2 linked regions of the Elephas maximus indicus genome follow. The protein of the gene in region 1 interacts with the protein of each later gene in a biochemical or structural test. Links are inferred from orthologs where the notes say so. Each region holds a gene or a part of one and is shown on either strand. Other genes may lie near its edges.

Region 1 (6,933 bases):
CCTGCCTCTGTGCAGTCTGGAGGATAAACTTGAGAATTTCTATACAGAGAGCTTGCCTTTTTGGGGGGGGTGGTAGGGAGGGCTAGGGGGGTCTCCTTTAATCATGTTGTTTCACCTTTTAACTGACCAAACGACTTGAGCGCGTTTTTTTGAGGAGAGGGATGAGGGCGAGGAGCTCTTGCAGCCCCTTGTCGCCTCCTCTCCATCAGCTGCGTACAATGGGCCGCTGCTAGCCGAGTGCATTGACAAACTCTCCGTTATTCGAGCTGGAGGGGCTGGGGGACAAACACGGGAAAGCCTTTATTCCGCTCTTTAAAAATCATCGCTTCTGCTCATCACTAGGCGATCGCCTGCACGCTACACGAAGGCTAGAGATACCGGGAAGCGCAAAACGCACCCCAAACACGCAGCGCTTCCTAAACCCCTCCCTGGTGAGATTTAAAGTGAGAACCAGTATTAAAAAACAGACCCTACCTCTGTCAATACTGCGTGGCCATTTACTTCCACCTTTACCTGAGGGCGTGTTGGGGCTCGGGATGCTCGACCTGAGACAAACTTTTGCGCTTCCCGAGTCCAGGGGCTGGCGAACCGCCGAACGCCGCTCCAACCCCCAGCGGCAGCGGCGGCGGCTTTGTCACTCGGAGCTTCTCCCGCGCCCGCTGGAGCCTGCCTAGGGGAGCGAGCTCAAAACGAGGGGGGTGGGGGGGACGGTTGCGAGTGTGCGATTGGAGAATATGTAACTAATAGAAGTATCATTTCCCCCCAGTAAGATCTTTCAAGGAAAAAAAAAATCCATTGAAAGAATTTTCAAAGTGCTGTCTTCGTTTGGAAAAAGACAGGCTGCCTGAGGGGAGGGGAGGGGAGGAGGGACTCGGCTGTGCACCGCCAGGGCGCGACTCCCGTCCGCTAGGTGGCAGCCGGAGCCAGCGATTCCTGCAGGCCCCGCGGCGGGACCCGCTCCTCCCGCCTGCCCCTCCACCCACGACCAATCACCTCCGGGAATCCAGGTCTCAGTTTGTCTCTGCGTCTCTGTCTCTCCCTAGTCCTACCCCTTCCTTTTGCCTTCCACTTCTCCACATCTTCTCGTCCACCCTCTCCCTCTTTTCCTGGGACCCTGATTTGGCCGACCTAACGCCCTCCCCCCCCCCAACAAAATGAAGACTTATTTCTGCTTTAATAATCATGGAAGTGTTGTTTTGGAGTTTGGAACAGCCTGAGGATATGAGGATACAAAACGGGGGGGGGGGTTGATTGAAAAGTTTATTTTTAAAAAACATCTTTGGGGTGAGTAGAAACCTTGATTCGAATAGAATTTGTGATAATAGCTGCAAATTCCAGGAGTGTGCTTTGTCATAATTAAACCTATAATCCAGAATGTACTTGGGGCCAAAAAATAGGGAAACCCTACCTTGCTTCTAAGAAGGAAATAAAATGAGCAGAAGCCAGACTTGGGGAAACAATCCAAACCCAGTATATTTCACGAGTCATTAAAACAGTGGGGTTTCATTCCCATTAAAAAATTTTTTTTCTAACATTTACAGTGACATTCTTTTCACGCTTATAAAATCTAAATTTAAAAACTTTTCAGAAGAAATCAAAATAATTTCCTTCTAATTCTCTTTTCGCCCATCGACATCCCTTCCCCCTCTAGGGTGTGTGTGTGTGTGCGTGTGTGTGTGTGTGTGTGTGTGTGTGTGACCGTAGACGACCCATACTAATCAGGTCTCAGAGTAAATAGCAGCGCAGGGCGATCTCAATGTAAATTGTGCTTGTCAGAAACACACCCCCCTCCCTCACTTTCTCTCCTCCTCCCCTCGGCATCCTAGTCAGTAGGTAGCTAAGAGGCAGGGGGGAAAAAAAAAAAAGAAAGAAAGAAAAAGAGGTGGGGGGAGGGGCTCTCCAACCAATGGCGTGCGGGAGGCTTGGCTAACCTTAGACTCCCATTTTCTCTCCCCCCCGATTCAGGGCTCTGACCAGTCAGTCGCCTTTGATTATCAGTTGCCAGCAGCCCTTCTCTTGGCTCCTTGACACGAGCTCCATATAAGGCAGCGATCTCCATAGAAACGTGTCAGTTTCAATAGTAGTGTCAAAGTTCACTATATACAGACATTCGCGCAGATCCCCCTTTCGGAAACATTGCTCTGCGAGTCCTCCCGTTTAAACGCATTCAATTTTTGGGTCTCTCTCCTCTCTCCCCCTCTCCCTCTCTCCCTCTCTCTCTTCCTCTCTCTCTCTCTCTCTCTCTCCCCTCTCTCTCCTCTCTCGCCCTCTCTTCTCTCCCCCTCTCGCCTCTCTCCTCTTTCTCCTTTCTTACATATTCTATTAGTTGTTTCCCCCTTATTCTTCTTCTCCTTCTTTCTCTTCTTTTTTTCCCTCCTCCTGTCTCTTTTACTCCATTCTTGCACAAGAGAGAGGTCTAAACTTAAAAAAAAAAAAGGAGGAGACACCCCCTTCGTATTCTTCTTATCGTAATTTTATACATATATGATTTTTTTCTTTTTTTTAAATTTTTTTTGGAGGGAGGGTGTTGGTTCCCGGCTGAAGAGCACTTATTTAAAATACTAAAAAAAGAACATTTTTGGGCGATCTCCAGGGTTTTTTAACTAGCTCTGTGTGTTATAGCAGAAGAAGCAGAAGAAGAAGCAAGAAAGAGGAAAAGAAGAGGATTATTTATTCGACCTACTTTGGATGTCTCTCTCGTCTATTTTTTTTTTTTTTTTTTGCAATTCTTTTTCCTCTGATTTTTATTTTTTTCTATTTCGCCGTGAATTCGTCGCCGGCGTGAATTATCCCGTATTTTTCTCCCCCTTCCATCACCTCCTGAAAGAAGGCAGCGAGAGCTCGGCGCCACCGGCACAACAAAAAGAGCAAAGTGTGTGATCCTCCCCGCCGGCTGCCTCCCGCTCTCCAGCGCTGCCTTCCTGAATGGCTGGCTGCGTCCGGCCCTGGACCTGGCCCCCAGACACCCGCGCGCCCTGATCGCTGCCGGCAGCCTCGCCCCGCGCCCTGCTCGGCTCCCCACGCTTCCCGCACTCCCGAGCCGGGCAAGGGCTCCCGCCGGGACAGCGGCGGCGGCGCGGGCGGCTCCAAGCCCGGCTCGCGCTCCGACTGCAGCCCCGGCTCCAGCTCCGACTCCGGCCTCGGCCCCGGCTCCTCCAGAGGCGCTCGCCGCAGCTGCTGAGGCGGCGGCTCCAGCGGCGCCTGCAGCCGCGACCTCCTCCTCAGCCACCGCCGCCACCGCCTCCGCCGCCGCCTCCGCCCTCGCCGGCTTCCTCTATGTCGGCTCAGCCCGCGCGCTGCGCTTAGCCCCGGCGGCCGGCGGGCGGGAGGGCGCCCGGCGCGGGTGAGCGAGTGTGTGTGCGAGTGTGTGTGTGCGCGGGGGTGCGGGCGAGGCGGAGGGCGAGTGTGTGCGCGCGCCGTGGCCCATGCCCGCCGCCCCCGGCGCAGCGCCCCGCGCCGCTCCCCGCTGCCGCCTGTGCCATTTCTGATTTTGCAACTTGGGGAAGAAGAAAAAAGCGAGAGAAGGGAGCTTGCTCGTCGGGGGGGTGGGGAGGGGGGGAAGGAGAGCGCGGCCCCCCCAGGAACCGAGCGCGGGGGGAGCGGGCGAGGGGAGAAGGGGTGTGGGGGGGAGCCTGAGAGCCTGGGGGGGCTGCAAAAAGAAAGAAAACAGCAGGAACCACAACAAAACGCCAGCAGGGCGGGCGGGCGCGCAGCAGCAGCGGGGCGGCCGAGGCAGTAGCTGCGGCGGCGGCGGCGGCGGCAGAGGCAGCGGCCGGTGCCCGGCTCGGGCTCGGCTCCGGCGACCCCGGGGCGCCCGGCGGGCCCCCCGCCCCCTCCCCCTCCCCCTCCCCCTTCCCCTTCCCCTCCCCGCGCGCTCGCGCGCCCCGCGGCCCTCGGCGAGCAGCTCGGCTCCCCCCCAGCGCTCCCCGGGCCCAAAGATATGGCAATGGTAGTTAGCAGCTGGCGAGATCCGCAGGACGACGTGGCCGGGGGCAACCCCGGCGGCCCCAACCCCGCAGCGCAGGCGGCCCGCGGCGGCGGCGGCGCCGGCGAGCAGCAGCAGCAGGCGGGCTCGGGCGCGCCGCACACGCCGCAGACCCCGGGCCAGCCGGGAGCGCCCGCCACCCCCGGCACGGCGGGGGACAAGGGCCAGGGCCCGCCCGGCTCGGGCCAGAGCCAGCAGCACATCGAGTGCGTGGTGTGCGGGGACAAGTCGAGCGGCAAGCACTACGGCCAATTCACCTGCGAGGGTTGCAAAAGTTTCTTCAAGAGGAGCGTCCGCAGGAACTTAACTTACACATGCCGTGCCAACAGGAACTGTCCCATCGACCAGCACCACCGCAACCAGTGCCAATACTGCCGCCTCAAGAAGTGCCTCAAAGTGGGCATGAGGCGGGAAGGTGAATATTTCTTCTCTGCTTCTCTCCCCGCGCTTCGTCCGGCTCCCCGGCCCTCTTTCTATCTCGCGGGGGTGGCTGCTATGTGGGACTGGGGCTTCAGCGGTCCCGGTCCATCCCACCTTCCCCTGTTCCCTCTGCCTTCCTCCCCCTGCGTCTCCCACCTCCCCCCCCCCCACCCCCCAGCTCGCTGCCGCTGCCTCCCCCTCCCGGTCTGCGCTACTCTTCCCGGCTCCCCAACCCCGCCCGCTGCCTGCTCGGGATTGTGTCCCTGGGATCGTGAGCTATGGCTTAAAATCCCCTCCCTCCCTCTGTCTTGGATGTGCTCGGTGTGTGTCCCTTTTCCGGGTGTGCGTGAGGATGCTTGGGGCTGTGCTGGCATGAACTTGGGGAGGGGGTGCTTATTTCCCCAGAAAACTCTGTGTCTGTGTTTTTTCATTCCACTTTCTCCTCCACCTCTTCATACTCTTTATTTAAAATGGGAGAGGGCTGGGGACTGGAGTACCCTGAACCGTAGATTCATTGCTGCCATCATCCTTTTGGAAGCTTAGCTTGGAAAAAGAGGAGTGAGATTTATTGCACTTGTAGGTCTAATTAGGGGGGAAGGGGGGCTTCTAGCCTGTTCACTGGTTCCCTCTCCTCTCCACGGAGCTGGGGCCGCCTCCTCTGGAGCTGTGGCCTTGTGTTCACCCCTCTACTGTGAAAGGAAAGTTTGTGACTGAACCGTGCTTTCATAGTTGTGTCATTTTTTTTAAAGCATGATACTCCTTTTATTTCTTCATCAAACTCCACCCTCTGCTTAAATACTGCATACAAATTACAATTTACTACGCATTTACCGATCCTTCTGATTTGGCTATAATGCACAGACTGCAGCTGGCATGCGCTTTCACGTCATTTAATCCCTGTGTTGTATGGGTTTGTTGTTTGTGGTTTTTTTTTTTAACACAACTTTTGATGTTGGATTTAGATATGTTTCATGTTCATGTGGCAAGAGATGCAGTAGTTCCTTATAAATGTATTTAGCTGTTCACAGTTAAAGTTTATCTCCTAACAGTCGTTGAAGATGTCTTATGGTCAAATTAGCGAGCCAGACAATTTTGTAGAACTCAGATTACTCCTTCTTGTAATTGACTTTAAAATGATATTTTATATGCCACAAGAAAAGAAATTAAATTCCTTCAGATTTCAAGGAGGAGGCAAATATGATGACTTCATTTCTAGCTCCAGGGAGATTTTGTAGGCATCTGAGGAAAAAAAAAAACTTTGAATTGTGCTCTCATTTAATTGAAAAATAACTGCCAAGTTCAAAACTATAATTAGAAAAAAGTATTCTATCTATTATGTTTCAAGAGCTTAAATTGCACTGGAACTTGCATTAAAATTAGAATCAAAGCAAACTTAAGAAAACAGTGCACAGACTGAAATAAGACAGCTACGTGTACATGGACATATCTATATTAATTTGTTGAGGGGGAGAGTTCAGTAGCCCTAACTTTTCAGAAAGTTGCCTTTGTTTACATGGCAATTTAAAACACCGGCAGTGTTGAAGTAAAACATACACATTAAAAAAAAAAACTTTGGTCAGCTTTAAGAACTCAAAGCATGCTTACGTTTTGCATTCAGATGGTTAATGAATCCAGTGTTTTTGCAGTTGCAAGCTCGTGCATTCACTGGGCAAAAGCTGGCTGCAGGTTGCAGTGGCACGGCGCAGGACAGAAATTAATTATATTTCCCACTTTTTTCAATAATGTTTGGCTACTGTAAGTTCAACTTTTTTTCTTGAAAATATTCCATTTTCTGTCGCTTTTAACAGTGAGAACTTTGTGTGGGGCGACGAGGAGGAGGGAAGAGGGGAGGGGTGCAGAATACTTGCTCTCTACTCAAAAAGTTTTAAGTGGTTACGAGGGTATGTAACTTGTATCTATTTTAAGGATAACCCTATAGCATTTTTAGAGAATATGGAAACATTTTATAAGCAAAACGCTGCTTGCTTACAAATAAGGAGGCCGCTAGGCATTTGCCTAGAACCACAACCTCTCTCCGGTTTCGCCTATATATATTTTTTAAACCCTGATTTGTTTCGGTCTGGAGGGGTGAGTGGGGTTTCATTTTTCTGTGTGTTCCTCCTTGGTGGTGGAGGGGTTGGCGCTTTCTTGGCGTCAGGAGCTCTGCTGGCCATGCCCGGCTGGGGGCCTTGAAGTCAGGCCTGGTTCCGGCAGGGTTGGGGTGACCAAAAGGGCAGGCGACGGACGGGCAAAACGGGCGGTGGAGCTGGAGGGCCTTACCCCAGCTCTCCTGGCGGTGTGGTCTGTGAGTGAGAGCGAGCGCGTGAGAGAAGGTGCGCGGGGCGCGTGTGGCTGCGGGAAAAGCCTTCGCTTTGTGTCGGGTGCTCTGCGGCGCGGCGATGTTCGCAAGCCCCCTGGATGCACATTGCCTCTTTTCTCTCTTTCTTTTTGTCAGCGGTTCAGCGAGGAAGAATGCCTCCAACCCAGCCCAACCCAGGCCAGTACGCGCTCACCAACGGGGACCCCCT
Region 2 (7,557 bases), on another chromosome or scaffold:
GCACGCCCCAGTCAGTCCTTGGAGCCCCAGTGCAACCTTCCAAAGACAGGCCCGGCTTTCCCAAGTCCTGCGCACTCTGCCCTTCCTTCCCGCCCGTACCTGGCCGGGCTGTAACTTCACACCGCCGCGCGCCGCGTCTGCTCCGCATCCGGCGCGGCCGGGGGAGTAGGGGGCGGGGGAGAGAGGCGAGGGAGGGATGCGCGGGGGTGGGGAGAGGGAGGGCCCCGCAACGTGCTTGGGCTGGGGAGGGGGGAGGAGAGCGGGGGAGCTTCCGAAGTGTATGACAAGTTTCAGGGCCCAGTGAAAAATGCAATTCCCTGTGCGCGCCCCCACCCCATCAAAAAATACATGACTGGGTATAAGTGGACCTTTAAAAATTGTATCAAAAATTAAAATGGGAGTCATGGAGAGGAGAGAACTGGCCTTCTCGTGCCTTTCTTTCCCTCGCTGCCAAACTTTCCTAAGTACCCACTACCTCACAGGAGCATTCAGTTAGCTGGGACCCCCCCTCCCCCCGCCTTATAAAGACTCACAAGGACCCCAGACAAAGTCAGGCCCAGGAAGTGGGCAAGAACCCAAAGGTGAAGGACGCGAGGTCCCGGAATAGAGCCCCGCAAAGGCATACCCGACCAGAGTTCTCCGTAGTCCTCCCCCACCTCACCCCGCCCCAGCCCGGGCCTGGCCCCGCTCCGGCACAGGGACCTGGTGGCCAGACCCGGGGTGGGAGTCGGGGGAGGAAGCGAATGCACGTGGTGACCTCCACCCCCTCCCCGCGGCCGAGAGCGGTGGACAAGAGACCTCTGGGGGTACAGCCGAGGGCAGGGGGCGCACGCAGAAACAAGCTTTTTCAGTTGCTTTGCAGAATAAAAATGCTTTGCAAAGCCGAGTTTCTCCCCAGCGGGTTTCGCAGTCGGGGAAGCCGGGAGGAGGTCTGGGCATTGTGCTGGGGGCGGGCGGGGACCTGGGGCCCTGCTGGCGCAGTCTCAGCGTGGCCTGCCGCCGTGCCCGGAGGGCGGGCGCCGGGCGCCGGGTGGGCGATCCCGGGAGGGGCCGGGGCGCGCCGAGGCCCAGCGAGGCCCCGGCCAGGCCCGGCCGCCGCCGCCGCCGCCCGCTCTGAGGCCGCGGCGCTGCGCTCGGTCCTCTGTCTGTTTGTTGGCAGGAGGCTCCCGCACACGCGGTGCTTGTAAACATTCAGACACGAGATTTTTCCCAATCAAAATCCACTTCCACTTTTTTTGAAAATCTTCCAAAAAATAGTAAGAGGAGGGAGTTCCTCGCTCCGTCTCAGTGCCGCCGGCGCTCTAAGTCTGCGAGTGAAGGGGTTTGGGGAAGGGGGTGATTGTAATTTTTTTTTCTCGGTTGGAGATGGTGAGATTTTTGCGGGGGGGGTGGGGAAGTCAAAGTGGAGAGCATTGCAGTCGAGGGCTGGCGGAGCGCTTGGCTTCTGCTTTTTGGGGCAAGAAATTTTACGTTCTCTTGCCTCGTTCAATTTAACTGTCTTTATCTTTTGCATGTCTACCCCTCGCCGCCTCGGAGGCTCGGCCGGGAGGGGAAGGCAGCGGCGAGCCGGGCGGCCACCCCGGGGCCCTCCCTCCCTCTCCCGCGCGCCCCCGGCCCGGGCCCCGGCCCTTCGGCCACAGCGGCGGCGCGGGAGGGCCAGCGCGAGGAGCTGGCACAAAAGGCAGCGGGACAAACACCCACCTCGGGCCGGAACAAAAGGCGGCAGCGCCGGCCGCGGCTGGCGTTCTCCCCGGCTCCCCAGCTCTCCCCGGCGCCGCGGCCCCCTCCCGCATGCCCTGGCTGACGCTGGCGGGGAAGCCTACTTTCCTCCCGGGTCACGCCGGCCCGCGAGCGCGCCGGCGTCCGAGGGCCGGCTCGCCTCTTCTCCCCCGGCATTGGTTTGTAGGCTGGGACCCCCCCCACACCCCGTTTTCCTGCGGGGAGTGGAAGCCACCCTCCTTTCCCCGCCGACTCCCTCCCCCAGGCTGGCGCGTGAGTTGTTCGCATCCTTAGCATTGTTCATTATTTTGCAAAACTGGGGGGTAAAACCACCGCATTCCTTTTCGACAAGAGAAATAAAGCAGCGGAAAGGAGGTAAGAGGAGGGGTGACTTTCTTTTTTAATTAAATAAAATTAAAAGGTGAATGCTATCCCAAAAGTGCACACGCGGCTAAGGTGCGAGACGGGACGAGGTTTCTTTCTTTCTTTTTTTTTTTTTTTTCCTTTTCCTTTAATCTCTTTTACTCCGACTCTCGGAGGTTTCCTCGTGAAAATAAAAAATGCACGCACACACCCCTCTCCCCCCTCGCTCTTGCGGCTCGTCCTGCGCGCTCTCGTGATTATTAATAATTATTATTACTATTATTGGGTTACTTACGCGAGAATTCCCGTTTGCTTAAGTGCTGGGGTTTGCCTTGCTTGCGGCGAGACATGTTGGGCTGCGGGGCGGGCGGCGGCGGCGGGCGGACGACGGCTCGGTTCACATCGGGAGAGCCGGGTTAGAAAGAAGGAGACTCCAGAGAAAATATCTTCATCAGTGCCTTTTGACATCCAAAATAAATTAGAAATAATACAAAGATGGCGCAGGGAAGATGAATTGTGGGAGAGCCGTCATGGCTTTTTTTTTTTTTTTTTAAGCAAAAAAAAAAAAAAAAAAGGAGAGAGAGAGAGGAGAGATAGAGGGAGAGAGAGAGATGAAAAAAAATGGCAAAAGCCCCCCTGAGCTGCAAGTTCAAGTGCGGACGTGACGTCCCTGCGAACTTGAACGTCAGGAGTCTGGATGGACAGAGACACACAAAACATGGGCAGGGCGAGCAGGAGAGAAGGGGAGGAGGGAAGGGGAAGCGCACACCAATGGACACACATCAGGGGCTGGACATGAAAAAGAGACCAGGACAAGCCAATGGCCAGTGCGGGGCGGGGGAGGCGCGGGCGGGGGGCTCGGCAGACGCCAGACGCGGCCCCCGAGGGAGGGGCGGGCGGAGGGGAGGGGAGGGGGCGCCGGGGCCGCGGGCTCACCAGTGGCCGCAGCGAGCGCAGCAGCCGCGGCGTGGCCGGGAGAGAAGAAAGGGGCGGCAGGGGCGGGGGGGGGAGCAAGGCGGGCGTCCTGCTCCCCCCCCCCCACTGGGACCCTAAAATGAGAGATTATTTAAAAAAAAAAAAAAAAAAAAGGCAAGAGTGCTCGGAGGGCTGCAGGCTGCGGCCGGAGAAGCGCGGGCGGAGGGAAGCAGGTAGAGTTGCTCCCGGCCCCCCTCCGCCGTGCGCACACCCACTTCCCCTCCCCGCCGCCGCAGCCGGCGCGCTCACTCCCCGTGTGCGGACACCCGGGCCAGGAGTGGAAGCCCGGAGCCCGCGGCTGCGCTCGGGAAACTTTGCCCGAGGAGAGGAAAGCCAAGAAAATCACCCGAAGTTAGAGCTGAGCCTCCAAGTTACAGCGCCGCAGCGGGCGAGGGGAGGCGGGAGGGAGCGCGCGCGGAGCGGAGTCCAGCCCAAGTTTGGAGGCTCGCGGGCCGGAAGGGCAGTGTCGGGGCCTCCCCGAACCCGGACGGTCTCGATGGAGGGGGCCAGGGCGAGGGAGGCGGCGAGCGGCGCAGGCCGGGGCAGGAGCGCCGGGAGGGCGCCCCGAGGCCGAGCCGGGGGCCGGGGATTTGAGCGCCTGGACTACCGACTGGGTTTGAATGAACTGGAAGCGCGGAGTCGAGGCTCCCCAGAACCCCGGAGTGAGAGAGGGGCCGCGGAATAAAGAACGAGGAACCAGAGTCCGAGCGCATTCCAGCCCCAAGACGGGAGTACCGAGGGCCGGGGCCGGGGAGGCGTCCACCTCTCCTGGCGGCCGTGAGCAGGAGGACAAAGCGCGGGCAGTCCCGGGAGGGCTGGGAGCGCGCTCCCCGCGCCGCGAGAGGCCCCGGAGCCGGGTCCCGAGGAGGTACACACCCCCTCCCGCTCCAGACCCACCGCAAAGGCACAGAGGGATGGAAAGAAAGTACTGCTTACGGGCAGAGCACAACTATTCCCGTGCTGTTACCCGGGGAAAGGGAAATGGGGGATGGAGATACAGCGGCGGGCTCGCGGGAGCAGCCGGGAGGCCACAGTGGAGGGGCGACCGCCTCGGAGGGACCAGCGGCTCTGGGCGAGCTCCGCGCTCTCGCGCGCCGCAGGCCAAGGCGCACACCTCGGAGCCCGCAGCCGCCTCTAGTCTTTCTGTAGACATTCCCTGGAAATTAGGGAAGACCTGTTGGAAATAAGCCCCTGTCTCTTTAATACGCGCGCGCACACACATGCACACACACACACTCACACACGCTGCCGCTGTCAAAAAGCGGGCTTCATTCTGGCATGGGATACTTTCAGTTTTACGTAAAATGTACAGCAACAGCACCCCCTGCGATTGGAAAGTTTATTCCGAAACGTGCCTGCAAAGTCCCCCGGCGTCTCCCGCCTCCCAGCCTCCCCGCCTGCCTGCGCTACCCTGCAGCCGCCGCCACCGCCGCGGATACGGCGCTCCGATTCCAAATCGGGAAACGCTGGGGAGTGGGGGTGTGTGGATGGACTCGAGTCCAAGGTTGGCGCGGAGAGTGCAGGGGGACGCCGGGCGCCGCTGCCCGCGAGACTCCGAGCTGCAGGTGGACATGTGTGAGTGGCTGCAAAGCAAGGAACCTTCCTTCCCTCTCCCGCAAGCAGCCCCGCGACCCCTCGGGTCTTCTCTTCCCCCTCCTCCTTCTAAGGGGTGTCGTCTCCTTAAATTCGCCCACTCAGCGGGGGGGTTGGGTTGTTTGAAGCAAGGGCCCTGGACTGGCAAGCGCGCCCCCATCTCCCAGGCTCGCCGGCAAGCGGCTGTTTATTCCTATGTCATCTTAGTAAAGTTTCAAACCTATTAGAAAAGGACGCTTGTCCAGCTTGAAGACGCTTCAGGTCTCCGCAAGGAAGAAAAAGGAGATTTGGATGCCCCACGTTATGAGGGGTGTGAGCTGAGGTGGGTTTGTGTAAATGCGGTTTGTTGCTGTTTCCCTCCAGTTTAAGAAAGCGGGGGGGAGCGCAAATCCTGTTTAAGCAAGACTCATTTGCAGTAAGGCTCTGTAGCGTGTGCGTGACACCATTTCCTCTTTTCCGTGAGTTCTTCAGAGCAGTTCAGCATCTTTCTCCCACCACCGGGTGTTTTTTGTCTGTTAAACCAACCTTATGACCAAATGAATGTCTCTGTAGGGCGGGGGACGGGGAAGGGCGGCGAGGAGGAATATTAGAAAGTGAAGAAAGGAGAAAGTGTAACTGGGAAGCCTTGGAAAAATAAGTAAAAGCCCCTTCAGGTAACAATGGTGAGCCAGAGTCCTTCCGAATCGAGCATTTCAGATTTGAATATTGCTCCTATCCATCCATAAAAGTCCATATGTAGAGAAGGTACGTAAATGGGCAAATGCGTGTTGGGGAAATATATATGTATGATTTATATAGAATGGTGTTTATAAAGCTTTTCAGGGTTGGCTGTAGTGTAAAAAGTAATGAGTTTATTACCTCTGAAAGGTTCTGTGGTTCACATTTAACAGTCTTCTGAATTACAATTCATTACACAATTGGGTGCTCTCTAAAACCGGCACCCCATCAGGGCCGCTATCTGTGGTTATTTCCTATAAATAACTGGCAACATTTTATTGATTTTCTCTTTTAAAAAAATCATAGGAGATTAAGCACTTAGTTACAAGTAGGTCTGCTATGTTACTGAACTTGTTCCAGATTCCAGGGGGTCCTTTCCGAAATCACATCTTAAAACATAGCATTAAAAAGCCAGTTTTGTAGCTGCTTTCCCTGGGTACCAACGGAGAGGTAGGCAGCGAGGTTTCCACCGTCAACATACATTTGATTTCACCATGATAAAATGTCCAGGATGAAATGGAAACTCTGCCCTCCGCTGCCACCCCCTCCCCCAGCCAGATTTCACCTAGTCCAGAAAACTAGGGCTGAGGGAAGGCATCTGATCGCTCCTGGAACCCCCTCCCCAGTCGTCTCCCCTCCGGGCGACGCCCCTTTTCCTCGTCGCAGCTCGAAGCTCACTAAAGCGCCCAAAAGTGGGGGAGGGGAGATTGTGGGTGTGTTTAAAGGAAAAAAACATGCGTTGTTTTAAGAGGTTTAAAAATATTACATAAGTATTGATTAATGATGCAGGTGGTTTCGTAGAGGGGGTGAAAGGTCACGTTAAAAGCGCGCACTTTGGATACACAGTAAGTATATTTTACCTTTCCAGAAGTGGCTTTTAAAAGTAATAAATTACCACAACGTTGAAATTATTTTCTGGTGGTCAGTTAACTCCGTTCGGGGCTGTAGAACCTCTGCTGAGTCCGCTGAGGAGGTAACGACGCGCTTTGGGCTGTTTCCCAACCTTCGATGACGACGCTGCGTAAAGTCCAGGCCGGCAGACAAGCCCTCCCCTCCTCCCCCTTTTTATCTCGCCGGCGGAGCAGACTCCCCAGGACTTCCTGCCTCTGATCTCCGCACTTAATAGCCCAGTCCTGGTTTATGCTTTATAATGTGTTGACAAGTTTTCTAACAGACTTTCTGAAATAATGCACATATATTCACGTCGGTTAGAAACCCCGCCGTATTTTTTAGAGCCGAGCAGATCGGCTCTCTAATGCAGTGCAAGAGTGTAAATCAAGGAGGGTTTCATGGTCCTTTCAGGAGTTTTCGGTATGAAGTATGAGCCGCGTGGCCTCCAGACGTAACCTTTTAGAAAAAAAAGACAGTGCTTTTATTTTATGGTGTAAAGTGCTTTTAGCTCCAGGGCTCTGAACGTGAATGTGGTCAACAAACAGCTCCATGAGGAAGGCTTAACGCAGTCCCAGCGCTGGTGCGGAGGATCGCCTGGCGCTGGGCACTCGGGCTAAGCTGGGGAACCAAGGGTTAAGAGGTCTGTCTCGCGCTGGAAATGACAAGATTAAAATAAAATATTCACTGTCTGCCTTTAGGGGGAAACACCTTTATGGATTTAAAGATAAATAAATGAATGAATGATTAAAATACAATCGATCCCAACTTACTTTTTATTTCATCTTTTTTCCCCCTTAATCGGCAGATCAGGAAAATAGAGAATGTACGTTCATCTTTATAAAAATAAAGCTCAGATCTGGATTCTACACTTGGTAGATGCATTTGGGGTGCCTGGGGGTGGACTTGCTAAGGGACTTGTTAAGACAAAGGGAAAATAATAAAAAAGGAGGAGCGGCTGTGAGCAAGCGGGTGGCTCTCCCCCCAGCCGCCCTCAGCGCCCCACCCCCGTGACGTTTCCTCCTCCTTTGCTCCCCGAGTGACCCGAGCCTGGGACCTGGGGAGGCCCCTGGAGGGCAGTGTCTACACCTTCTGCAAAGGCACAGACTTCCCCCAGGGGGCTTCCTGAGGGAACAGTTGGTCCAGCGTCCTTCTCCAGAGGCGCTCTGGGCCTTTGGCTGGCTGGCAGGCTGCATTCTGGATGGACCAGTGGGAAAAAAAGGAGGGAGGGAAAGAAGGAGGGAAGGAAGAAGGGAAGGAGGGAAGGGAGGGAGGGAGGGAAGGAGGGAGGAGAGGGAGGGA

The links. The genes of interacting proteins can lie anywhere in the genome.
Region 2: the proteins of NR2F1 (region 1) and BCL11A form a complex in vitro, tested with the Homo sapiens proteins (2 studies listed by BioGRID). The link is inferred for Elephas maximus indicus from reciprocal best matches to the Homo sapiens genes NR2F1 and BCL11A.

What each region holds. Positions count from the first base shown.
Region 1 is NC_064820.1:100,819,808-100,826,740, forward strand, and holds the start of NR2F1 (COUP transcription factor 1), read left to right. Parts: upstream 1-3,853; 5' UTR 3,854-3,940; coding exon 3,941-4,400; intron 4,401-6,860; coding exon 6,861-6,933. UniProt on the Homo sapiens protein: Coup (chicken ovalbumin upstream promoter) transcription factor binds to the ovalbumin promoter and, in conjunction with another protein (S300-II) stimulates initiation of transcription. Binds to both direct repeats and palindromes of the 5'-AGGTCA-3' motif.
Region 2 is NC_064844.1:1,681,894-1,689,450, reverse strand, and holds the start of BCL11A (B-cell lymphoma/leukemia 11A), read right to left. Parts: upstream 3,077-7,557; 5' UTR 3,019-3,076; intron 2,780-3,018; exon of another isoform or gene 2,541-2,779; 5' UTR 2,433-2,540; coding exon 2,378-2,432; intron 150-2,377; exon of another isoform or gene 149-149; coding exon of another isoform or gene 100-148; intron 1-99. UniProt on the Homo sapiens protein: Transcription factor. Associated with the BAF SWI/SNF chromatin remodeling complex. Binds to the 5'-TGACCA-3' sequence motif in regulatory regions of target genes, including a distal promoter of the HBG1 hemoglobin subunit gamma-1 gene.